Linked DNA regions of Rattus norvegicus. Each later gene encodes a partner of the first gene's protein in a complex. Links are inferred from orthologs where the notes say so. Each region holds a gene or a part of one and is shown on either strand. Other genes may lie near its edges.

Region 1 (3,600 bases):
TCTCTACCCGCCCTTGAAATGCCTTGGTCTAGATTCTACCCTCCTAGTTACCTGTACACTCTAGCTCCTGATCTACTCCCTCTTCATTCCACCTGTCCTTGAACGTAGCACAGAACGTATCCTACGTAGTGTCTCCTTAACAAGTACAGATGTTCTCCACAAAGATGGGGACTCTGTCAGACATTGGTCACTCCCAGGGGACTCAATAATAGTCACTAAGTTATAAATGGTTGTGAGCCACAGTGTGGGTGCTGAGAATCAAGCTGGGGTCCTCTGCAAAAGTACATATTCTGTTCAGTAATTTTCTCCAGCCCCAAAGGTAGCTCACAGCCACCTGCAGTTCCAGCTCCAGGGGATCTGACCTGTGGCCTCCACTTGCATTCATACCCATACACAGATATATAGACACACAACTTAAAATAGAATTAATCTCTATGCAAGTATCATAAGAGAAAACCCAAAAAGTATTAACATGTCTGTGGTACAGATGAAGAAACTCTGGCTCAAAGACGTTGGACATTTTTTTTTTCTTTTTTTTCGGAGCTGGGGACCGAACCCAGGGCCTTGCGCTTGCTAGGCAAGCGCTCTACCACTGAGCTAAATCCCCAACCCTGACGTTGGATTTTTTATTTTTTCCAGTTGTGTGGTCCTCCTATATGTAGCCCAGAGTTGACCTTGAATTCCTAGAGACACTCCTGCCTCAGCCTTCTGTGTTGGATTACAGGCAGATGCTATCATGTTTGGCTGGCTTTTTAAACTATTGTGAAGGTTAGGCTATGCAAACAATGAAGTATGGTGTGGTGGTGGTCTTCACTGCAGCCCCTTCCTGTGGTAAAGAACTCAAAACCTCGAGAACAGACCCTTTATTTTGTTCTGGTTGGTTTTTGTTGTCTGAGAAGGGGCCACATTTTGGGGGGGGGGGGTATTGGCTGATGGGTGTCCATAGCCATTGGCAGCTGGTTCTCCAGAGCCTGCCACGTCTTTTTTTTTTTTTTTCTTTTTTCTTTCTTTTTTGAAGGCTGCCACTTCTTATTCTTGACTGCCACCAACACAGATGAGTGAACCCCGTAGTATACTGTAAACTAGCTTTGCTAGAAAGGAGCTCATGTTTGGGTCATCTCTGACCTTAGTGTCTACCTGTTGGGTCTGGAATAGAAGCATATGAGAAAACTTTAAGAATCACAAGAGCTCTAGGGGAGGCCCATGAGTCCAACTCACCGCTGTTGGGGCCCAGTCCTGGCCGTACACAAAGCAGTACTTGCAGTAGAGGTCATCGTACTCTGGAAACTGAGAGAAAAGTATACAGGCTTTGGTCTAGAAAGTGCAAACTGGACCCACACACTAGCTAGGCAGGTGCAGTGGGTAGGAATCATGAACATGAGAAATCTGGGGTTGAGGATGTGGACATGGGTTTCAGCAGGGACAGGGAATGGAAATGAAACTGGGGTTAGTCCCAGACTGCCAATTATCACGGGTTATTTTGCTCTGTTTTCTGTCTTTCCCAGTCCATCATGTGGCAGGCCCCTTGCCCATCTTTCAGAATTCACCCTCAGGGAATTCTTTACTCTCTAGCTGGCTTAAGGATCATCGCTTGGCTCCCAACGCTCCTCTGCATTTCTGCATCCAGGAAACCAATGTCTATCTGACAAGCCCTGTTAGATTGAGGAAGGAACGGGTTTCATGCCTCGGGGCATAAGTTAGAGCTACAGAAATGAGCTGCCGTGGAACCCAAGAAGCTACAGTGGAACCCAAGAAGCTACAGGGCCAAAGAACATGGCTAGAACTGAGGGCCGGGAAGAAGGGAAGGCCCAGAGCAGAAGCTGAAGGAAGGTGTCCAGAGGAAGCAGCCCAGGTAGGCATCCACTTACTGGAAAACGGAGGATGCAGTACCAATGAATGGGAAGGCAGGAACACCTACTGAGCTTCAGACCTGGTAGAACTTAAATCATCTCAGCCAAACCTCAGAACATGTAGGAATAATGAGCATTTTCAACAAGCAGCCCAGAAGAAGAATGTAGCAAAGTTCTGTCTGTCAGACCCGGGTCAAATCCCACTTGGCCACTGCCTTCCGCTAAGTTCCTAGCTGTTAAATGATCGGCTGAATCCCATTAGTTCTAGACCATCACTCAACCAAGTAAACAGGAGCCAAGCAAGAGACCATAGTGTGACTTTGGTACCAGCTCAACACCTCGAGGTCAGTTTTCACTCGTGCTTGTCCGGTCCATCAACCTGGCACCAAGGTTCTCAAATGCTGGTTCGCCTTCCCAATTATTTGAGACGCTCAGAGCAATGGCTTGACTCTCTAAGAGCAGAGGAGAGAGCCCAGGGAGAGGAACGGGAGGAGTAAGTGGCTGCTTACCTGTGCGCTCTCTACCTGCCCGTTGACCATGAGCAGGAAGACACTGGGACTTGCTGCAGCCATTGCAGGCTGGGCCGCGCGCCCTTGCCAGGAGGCTCCTGGGTTGTCTTGGAAACAGATGGCAACTCATCTAGGACAAATTTCTCAAGCGGTGACGAGTTCGCGTAAAGGCAAGAGTGCGCAGGCGCAGTGTTGTTTACGACCCAGGGGCCCGTCCTCCGTTTCCGTCGCGCGAAACCTAAACCCCAGGGTCGGGTCCTCGGACCCGCAGGGACTGTGACTTCACTCTCCTGGCCATGCTTGAAGCTCGCAGGCCGGAAAGCTGTATACTGAGAAGCAGCACCGGGACTCAGGCTCGCGGAAGGTCACGTGCTAGAGTTACCTCTCTCCAGGAGATGTCGCTGTGGCCACATGCAGCGACCGCACAGGCGCCACAGTTGGGGAGACTAGTGCGCAGTGTGGTCCAGCGGGCATCTCGCAGTGCATTGCCTCAGGTGAAGGATGTGCCCTTTAGCCCTTTGAGGCTCTTGTCATTGAAACTTGGAGAATCCACTTGTCCAAGTCCTGGCTCCTGCATGAGAAGCTGGAGCCCACGGAACCAATCACCCATTTTTGGAGAATCACTGGCAGCTCAGGGATATCAGAGCTTGATCCCAAGTCACCAGCATCCTCAGTAGACGCATCTGTTAGCGCTTGGATCCAACTGCACTTACTCTATCACTGTCTAATTCAGAGTGGCTTAGTGCTAGTCTCTGCCTCTAGATCCCCAGCTCGACTCTGGGGGCCGTCATTGCCTGGTCCTGGTCCGGCCAATGGAAAATACTTGGGAACGACTTCTTTAATGAATAAACATTGAAAAGAAAACATCTCTTTTCTGGAGGAAGTGACTGAAATCCAGACCCGGAAGGTAGTTTAAGCCATATTCGTTGCAGCAATTTAGCTGCAGAATCAGGCTTCACATGCAGAACGTATAAGGAAACACTAGAGAGCACATTAATGATTAGCCTGGAAACGAATGGATGCAGATGTGTATACTTTAGGGAGCTCAGCCTGCAGACTCCAGGTCATCACACAAGCTCTTAGCTTGGAAGTCAGTTGGTGGGATTCCCAAAGTCACCTGTGAGGAAGAGGAAACGCATGTGGTCACAGCCTCCCAGGTGGGCCACTGTGCAAGAGTGTAAGAAATTCTTTTAGCTTAGAGCCTTGAGTCCTTCTTACAAGCAGAGATTCTAGACCCCCTC
Region 2 (8,203 bases), about 7.6 Mb from region 1:
TAGCCACTTTTGTGTATTTGTATGAATAAGACACAAACCATGAAGGTAGAGGTTTCTGGGTTACCTGAATGACTTCTTGTTGAATGGATTATGCTGATTTCAATGTAACACAGTTCCAACAATCTTAGGACTAATCCACACTGATGTAACCTTTGCCTGATCTTCTCTTTCTTTCTTCCTTTCTTTTCTCTTTTTGAAAAAGAGCCATACTGGGATTAAAGATGTGCGATATCCTTCCAGACTTCTATTACCTTTTTAAATTTTTTACTTATTTTATTTTTTTAGGGGAGCCAGCTCATGTTTAATTGTGGTTTTTTTCTTTTTCTTTTTCTTTTTCTTTTTTTTCGGAGCTGGGGACCGGACCCAGGGCCTTGCGCTTGCTAGGCAAGCGCTCTACCACTGAGCTAAATCCCCAACCCCTAATTGTGATATTTTTAATTGTCCAAGTTTTAGACATCTACCTTCCCACCACATGTGTATGTAGTGTCTTTAAATTACAGGAACATGTCACTGAAAGGTAAGGAATGCTTGAGGAATGTATTGCCCTTGCACAGAGGCTACCGGAACCCTCTGTGTCCTCCAGTTTTGGTATCTGTGCTGCTGAAGTGAGCCTGTATGTGTATATAAAGCCATACAGCCCGTGTACATATAACCTTGGGAAACAGAAGCCAGTGACATTTCCGAGGTAGATGAGATGGACTGACAACCAGGAGACAGTTATAAGAAAACTTTGTACAGGCTTCGCACTCAGCTCTCTTAAATTCACTGCTTATAAAAGTGTTTTGAGAAAGCTTTGAGAGATTTGCCTACAAAAAGGAGCAGATGTTCTGGGGTCAAAGGGATCTGTACTTGACAATTCGGTTAACAGAGGATAGTGCTCAGCGTTCGGCTGACAGAACTGCTTCAAGCCTGCAGCTGCTTGGGGAATTTCTCAGGTTGGGCTCAGCCTCCATCCTGAGCTGCTCAACTACCGCCCTCTTCACAGCATTGATGCTGGAGGAATGCAGCGGGGACCTCAAGAGCTGGGCCAATTTGTCCATCCTTACAAGGGGCAGCAAGGTCCTCTTGCTTTGTTGGGGGAAAAGGGTCTTACTCTGCAGCCCTGGCTGGGTGGAATTCACTTGTGGGTGGCGCTCCTGCCTCTGCATGCTGAGTGCTGAGATTGTGGACATGATCACCGGTTCTGGCTTCTTTAAGTTTTTAATGCTGAGGATTTCACCGAGGGCCTCAAGGCACAGCAAGTATACACTCACTGGTGAGCTAGCTGTGTCTCCAGTGTAAATATAACCTGCTTAATCGCAAGTTCACACTGCTTAATTTAAATAAGAGTTATGTTTGGCAACCTGTCAGTAAAGCTCCCGGAAAAAGTAATTTTTTCCAAGTTCAGTAAGACACATGCAAGGGTGTGGGTGTGGGCTTCTCACAGAGCTGTAGTTAAGTTTCTGAGCAATAGCTGAGACATATGTAACATTTTGGTGGCTCTCAAGTTACAACTTCAAGCTTTGCTACTAAACTCCTAAAATCTTTCTTTTTTGGGGGGTGAAGGGGAGGTAGCATGTACCACAATTTACAGGATTAAACAAGTCTGGGAGTGCTGGGAAATGTCTCTATATGCCCAAAGCTGAGTATAGGTCATATCACATCTATTTTCTCAGTATTGTTAATAGGGCTTTGCCTACGGTAAGGAGGTCATTGAATTGAAATGTGGGGATGAAGGCAAGAGACGCTTTAGGTCATAAGGGTTAAGGCCTCATCAGAAAGGATCTCCTGGTAAGCATGAGGAGGGGCCAAGGTTGCTTTCCCCACACCGAGCCTAGAGTGCTTTCTAGAAGCTGGGCAAACAATCAGCAGCAAGGCACTTGTTGTCATAGAAATAAGGTCTGAGCAATCAGTCAGTCATATACACAATTACTAAAAGCACCTTAAAGTCATGGCTCTGACCAGTGTTAGGAGAAATTTCAGGAGCACAGGACAAAATTCCTAAATTCTATCAGTCAGTACATGCGAAATAAATATGATCGTCAGAGAATCAGATAGGAGCAATCAGGATGTTGTCAGGTCCTGATTACACGGAAATGCTAATCAGCAGATCATGCAAGCTCCAATCATCATTTTCTATCTGCCCTCCGAGAGGAGGAACAGGTAAGGATTAACCTCCTGACGATAAAGGACAAAGGGAGCCCATTCCTAATTAAGTAAAGACATTCCATATTAAAGAAAGGGTGAGAATATGACAATTTAGCACGAACCCAATGACTTATAGTTATTGCAACTCAAGAGCAATATCTATTTGCAAGTCGCCTGAAATATTTTATTTTTCCATTCGGCGCAGAAAGAGAGAAACAAAGTTCTCCCATAATGCTCCGCTCACATACAGCAAATTAGAAGCCCTATGTGAGGTTCTTATTTACATATTCCCGCCCACTCACTTCCGCCTATTTTGTACCGTAAAAATCCAAATAGAAGCATAAGCTACTAGCTCACGTACAGAAGGCTAGAAAAAAGCCTTTATTTACATCAGCCTTTTGATTTACCCAATGGTCTTCTGACAAATAGTCTAAGCCTTGCTCTTATTATAAAATGAATTTTATTACAAAACTCTAATAAAATTATAACCCAAGATTTGTGAGATCTTATCCCAACATTGCCATTTTCTGTTTAGACGCAGTTGGGAGGAGCAAAAGACTAGGGCGAGAGAAAACTGAAGCCTCTCCCTTTCTTCTTCCAGCAATGGGAGGGAGTTCATCACGTTTCCGGCTTTGGTCTCTTCATCGGATTGTGATCAGAAGGGTTTCTTTTTCAGCCCAAAGACAGCGATGAATAACGCAGTTTCAGTGACAGCTGGAAAAGCGCTGTGGAAGTAGGGGGTGGGTTTAGAGCCCCTTCCGACCCAAACACTCAAACCTCCAAGCCTTATATGTGAGTGGGTTAGCGGATGGGTACGACTCTTTAAAACTCTACCAATTTCACATGTGCAGGAAAGGTCTAGGTGGGGGAAACCTTCAGATTTGGGGTAGACTTTCCACCACCCTCCATTCCAAAATAACCTGCAGAAGGCAAAAATGTACCAGTACGTGGTACATTCCCATCGCTCGAATATGAAGAAAGATAGGGCCACAGACGCGCTACAGTGGGCTGCAATGGCTTAAAAATACAGCAGAGTCAAGGAAAATAATAGGTAAGTGATGGGTCCCTTTAGTACTCGGACTTGGGCTCAGCTTGTTCCCTTCCCTTAAGACAAACACCAGAGTTGGCAGCCATGCCTTCTGAATTTGTGGACACTTATGTGTAAGAGGCCAGAGCTGAGTTTGTTTTGATAGGACCTCTCCCTGTACACTTTTGGGAGTTAATGTCACATATGCCCTAGGCCTCACAAGAATACCTACAGGTCTGATACACTGTGGGAATTTCTCCAGTGCTCTGGTCCTCCTTGTCCACAACTCAGAGTCAACGGCTATCTTTTTTTTTTTTTTTTTTTTTTTAAAAAACAGGGTCTCTCTATGTAGCCCTGGCTGATTTGGAACTCACTATGTAGGCCAAGCTGGCTTCGAACTTAGAGATTCACCTGCTCCTGCCTCCCTAGTGCTAGGATTAAAGGTTTGCAACATCACACCCGGGTATCGAGAACCTTCCTATGTGTCTCATTTTCTTGGTCCCTTTTGAGTTCCCACAATGGTTTGTATTTTGCACACTCCTACAGAATACTGTTTAATCACACTGATTTACAGATGTTTATCCATCTCTTCCTCAAACAGGATAAAGTGGTTTTACTCCCACTCATGGATCGCCAGAACCTGGCTCACATCAGGGTTTAAGGTTTGAAGTCTATTAATTCCCCAAAACTGTCTAAAACCTCTCACCTAGAGAGATTCGCTTTGCCACGTAGGGCAGAGACTTGTGCCCAAAAGGCCTACAGAAGTGGAAAGAGTGAGTGGTGATGATGTCGCATGGGGACGCTGGCCAGGCAGAAAGGATACAGAGGAGGCTCTGGGTGCTATTAAACATGGAGACTCCTGAGAGGAAGCCAGCCAGCTCCACTGCAAAGAGGCCCAGGGTGAGGCAGAGCGCTGCTACCAGTCTGCAGAGAGAAAGGGTGATGGACCTGGGTTTCCGGATTGCGTAGAAGACCCTGGCACTCTCACCCCGCCCCAAGAGCTCACTGGTTGTCCTGCTTCTCATATTCCTCCGGGGTGAACTTGAGAGGCAGGCAAGCCTGGATGTTGCTTTCCTGGTGAGCCGGGCAGAAAGAAAGAAAGAAATGTCAAAAGAGGGATGGGGTTGCGGGGGACGGGAGCAACGGACCCAGTGTGGGTCTGTGGGAGTGGACTGAGCTGAGCTGGGTCCACTCTAAGGTGAGAATGGGAGGGACAAGAAGACACGCGCGCGCGCCCTGTCCACGTCTTACCCGGGACCAGAACAAAGTGATGACAATCACCAGATGAGCCAAGAGCGTCAGGAATCGAGAGGGCACGAGCCCGGAGATCCGACCCATGGCCTCGGGGGCCCAAAGCGGAGGCCGTAGAAGTCTGAGGAGGGTCACTCATCAAGTCTCCCAGAGCAAGCAGGCCAGACCTCTCTACTTAAGCCTCCTTCCCGCGTGCTCAGGCGCCGCCCGGTTGCCATGGTAACTGCGTCCTCAGGCGCCATGCAGCTGCCTCCGGAAGTCTCGCGATAGTGCTGCGCCCTCTGCAGATGTCTATAGGCCAGGTACCCGAGCCGATGCTCACCTCCTGGTGCTTGTGGGATGAATCCGGGAGGATGCACCCGTAACCACCAAATCCTCCCTTTTCCTGTGCTTCCCACTCACTGCCTTGGGCGCCAGGAGATGAGGGAACGAAGGAGTAGAGCTTCAGCACCGAGCTTTGCCCCACAGTCTCGCCAAGCCCTCCCCGCCCCCCCCCCACAGCCCCTGGTTGTCAGAGGGCTCCCTCTCCCACCCAAGACCAAACCTCTGCCGATGAACGACTCTAATTTCTCCCTAAATAACTTGTCTCGGTTTCATGAAAGATTTGCCGAGTGCAGAAATGAGCAACCTTGGAATGGGTAGAATAGGATGTGGGTGGATGAGGTGACAGCCTCCTCGGGATCCCAAGGGATCTGAAAAGGTGAAGAATGGAGTGGGGGACTAGAACAGCTTGTGCGCCCCTGGGAGGCTTAAACCAGGCTGATTCACCACCGATTTCACTCTCGCTTTGAGTTGCCAGGCCGCGGACATTGCTCAGTTACAGACCCAGAACCTCTTCTTAGGGTGATGTGACTGATTTGGGGCTTCGGATGAAATGCCTGCGATCGGAAAGTTCTCACTACCATCCCAGTTCACAATCAAGTCCCATTGACAATGAACCTCCTCCTTTTGCACCCCCTCTTCTCTCATTTCTCTGTGTGTGTGTGTGTGTGTGTGTGTGTGTGTGTGTGTGTGTGTGTGCCTCTAAACCAGCCTAAAAGACAAGACCCAGAGGGATTTCATTCATTCAACAAATATCTGATGTCTCCCAGATGCCAGGCACTGTGCTTGACTCAGAATACATCGATAAAGTCCCTCCAGTTTATATTCTAGGCAGAGAGACTGATAACAAAACAAACAAACAAAACAAAACAAACAAATACACACACACACACACACACACACACACACAAAACCCCAACAAAACCCTGCAAGGTAATGTATGCTGTAAATTTAAAAACTTTAAAGGGTGACACTAGAATAATATCAAAGGAAAGTTTTGAAATAGATAATTCCTAAATTTTCGTTTCAAGGAATTGGGGGGAGGGGGAGAGAGAGAGGAAATGTTTCTGTCTCCCTAAAGTAATACATGGGGTCCCCTTACCTAAACCAGTGAGTAAAAACATTTAGAATGCAGAGTCAACGTTTTTTACTTAAAGGTCATGAAAGACAGGCTGGAGTTCTTCCCACTGAGTGGGGGATAAACCTAACCTAACATGAGATCCCAAACCAGACAAAAGACACCCCCCACCCACACACACACTCACACTTTCATTATAAAAGACTGGTGGAATGTTTGACAAACAGTATAGTATTTGTAACTTAAATAACAACAACGTAGATTTTTTTAATTTTTTATTTATTATATATGAATACACTGTAGCTGTCCTCAGACACACCAGAAGAGGGCATCAGATCCCATTATAGATGGTTGTGAGCCACCATGTGGTTGCTGTGAACTCAGAACCTCTGGAAGAGCAGTCAGTGCTCTTAACTGCTGAGCCATCTCTCCACCCCCAATGTCCTGATTCTTTTCTTCAGTATTGGAGATAAGCTTTTGCATATAGGTAATAGGTAAGCACCCTCCACTGAGCTATACTTCCACTTTCCCTTCTGAGTCTTATAGTATATCTTCATCGATGCATAGAGTGGCATTCTAAGTCATTTGTAGCATTAAATGTTCTTATTTATTGAAATTCCCCCTTTATATTGAAACTTCTGCCTGTGCTGCACTGGGAATCAAATGCAGAGTCTGGACCACACGAAAAAACTGCTTTCCTACCGAGCTCCTACATGGTGAAATTTTATAGTAACTTTTTCATATAAATATGAATCTTAAGCTGGATAAGGGGAAAACACCTACAGTCCCAACACTTGGGAGGTAGAGGAAAGAGGGTCAGAAATTCGAGATCGTGCTCAGTTAGTCGGTTCAATAAAACAAAGAACTAAAATGACTTTACAAACAAACTGTAGAGGTGGCTCAGTGGTTATCCCAGCACCAGGTGTTAATCCCAGCACTCAGGAGGCAGAGGCAGTCAGATCTCTGTGTTCGAGGCGAGCCTGCTCTACAAAGCAGGACAGCCAAGGCTACACAGAGAAATCCTCTGTTGAAACAAAGATCACAGAACACTCTTGTTAAATTCAGTTCCCAGCACCCGTATTGTGTTGCTTACAACCTCTTGTAACTCTAGAGATTCGGTGCCCGCTTTTGGAAGCTGCACACAAACACACACAACACACACTCAATGCACACACACACTCATACACACATACATATGGACTCACACTCAATGCACAAACACACTCAACACACAACACAGACTCACACTCAATGCACACACATACACACGGGCTCACACTCAATGCACACACACTCATATACATACACACACGAACTAACACTCAATGCACACACATACATTCACACACACACTCAATGCACACACACTCATACACACACAGCACACTCATACACACACGCATGCATACACACACACAGACTCACACTCAATGCACACAAACACACACACCACACTCAACACACACACGGACTCACACTCAATGCACACACACATATTCATACATACACACACGTTCATACATACACAAACACACACACACGGACTCACACTCAATGCACACACACATTCATACACACACACAGACTCACACTCAATGCACACACTTATACACAATATTTAAAAGAAATTGTGAGGCCTGGTGGCTCATAGCTTTAGTTCCAGCACTCAGGAGGCAGAGGCAGACAGGTCTGTAAGGTACATAGTAAGGGGGTTGGGGATTTAGCTCAGTGGTAGAGCGCTTTGCCTAGCAAGCGCAAGGCCCTGGGTTCGGTCCCCAGCTCCGAAAAAAAGAAAAAAAAAAGGTACATAGTGAGATCCTGTCTCAAAAAAGATACGTCAGTTAATTAGTTTAATCAAGTCACCTCTTAGCTCCATATGGTGGCACACTGAAGACAGCCAGGGCTAACAGCTAACAAACATTGTTGGTTTGGTTTGGTTTGGTTTTGAGACATAGTCTCATATATAGCTCCATCTTTCCTAGAATCCACTATGCAGATCAGGCTGGTCCGCCCGCGAACTCACAGAGACCCTCCTGCCTCTGGGTTCAAAAGTGTTCATCACCATTCCTAGCTACATTTATTTACTTTTTTTTGGGGGGGGGGGTATTCTCCATCATAGAAGTCAGGGTGCTGTAAAATATGTCACTGCGCTTAAGGGCACAGACAAAATGAAAGAACGCAAGAGTTCGAGTCTTTTCCCTGCCTGTGACTTGTGAGGCTGAGCTCGGTGACGACGTAGCTGGCGACTATCTCCAGGCAGAAGAAGCTGTGTCAGAGGACTAAGTGAGGAAAGGCTCGGGCTTGCGTTGGAGGATTTCCAAAGATCTAAGGGCAGGAGCCAGCCGCTTGGAGATCTGCGGAAACAGCATTCCAGACGAGGGAGGAGCCAGGCCTAGATG

The links. The genes of interacting proteins can lie anywhere in the genome.
Region 2: B9d1 (region 1) and Tmem107 share a complex: the UniProt entries of both Homo sapiens proteins name them as parts of the tectonic-like complex. The link is inferred for Rattus norvegicus from reciprocal best matches to the Homo sapiens genes B9D1 and TMEM107.

What each region holds. Positions count from the first base shown.
Region 1 is NC_086028.1:46,685,029-46,688,628, reverse strand, and holds the start of B9d1 (B9 domain-containing protein 1), read right to left. Parts: upstream 2,482-3,600; 5' UTR 2,423-2,481; coding exon 2,360-2,422; intron 1,288-2,359; coding exon 1,219-1,287; intron 1-1,218. UniProt on the Homo sapiens protein: Component of the tectonic-like complex, a complex localized at the transition zone of primary cilia and acting as a barrier that prevents diffusion of transmembrane proteins between the cilia and plasma membranes.
Region 2 is NC_086028.1:54,267,616-54,275,818, reverse strand, and holds Tmem107 (transmembrane protein 107), read right to left. Parts: upstream 4,624-8,203; 5' UTR 4,493-4,623; coding exon 4,406-4,492; intron 4,229-4,405; coding exon 4,161-4,228; intron 4,103-4,160; coding exon of another isoform or gene 4,079-4,102; coding exon 3,978-4,078; coding exon of another isoform or gene 3,861-3,977; intron 3,145-3,860; coding exon 3,048-3,144; coding exon of another isoform or gene 2,853-3,047; coding exon 2,783-2,852; 3' UTR 2,299-2,782; downstream 1-2,298. UniProt on the Homo sapiens protein: Plays a role in cilia formation and embryonic patterning. Requires for normal Sonic hedgehog (Shh) signaling in the neural tube and acts in combination with GLI2 and GLI3 to pattern ventral and intermediate neuronal cell types.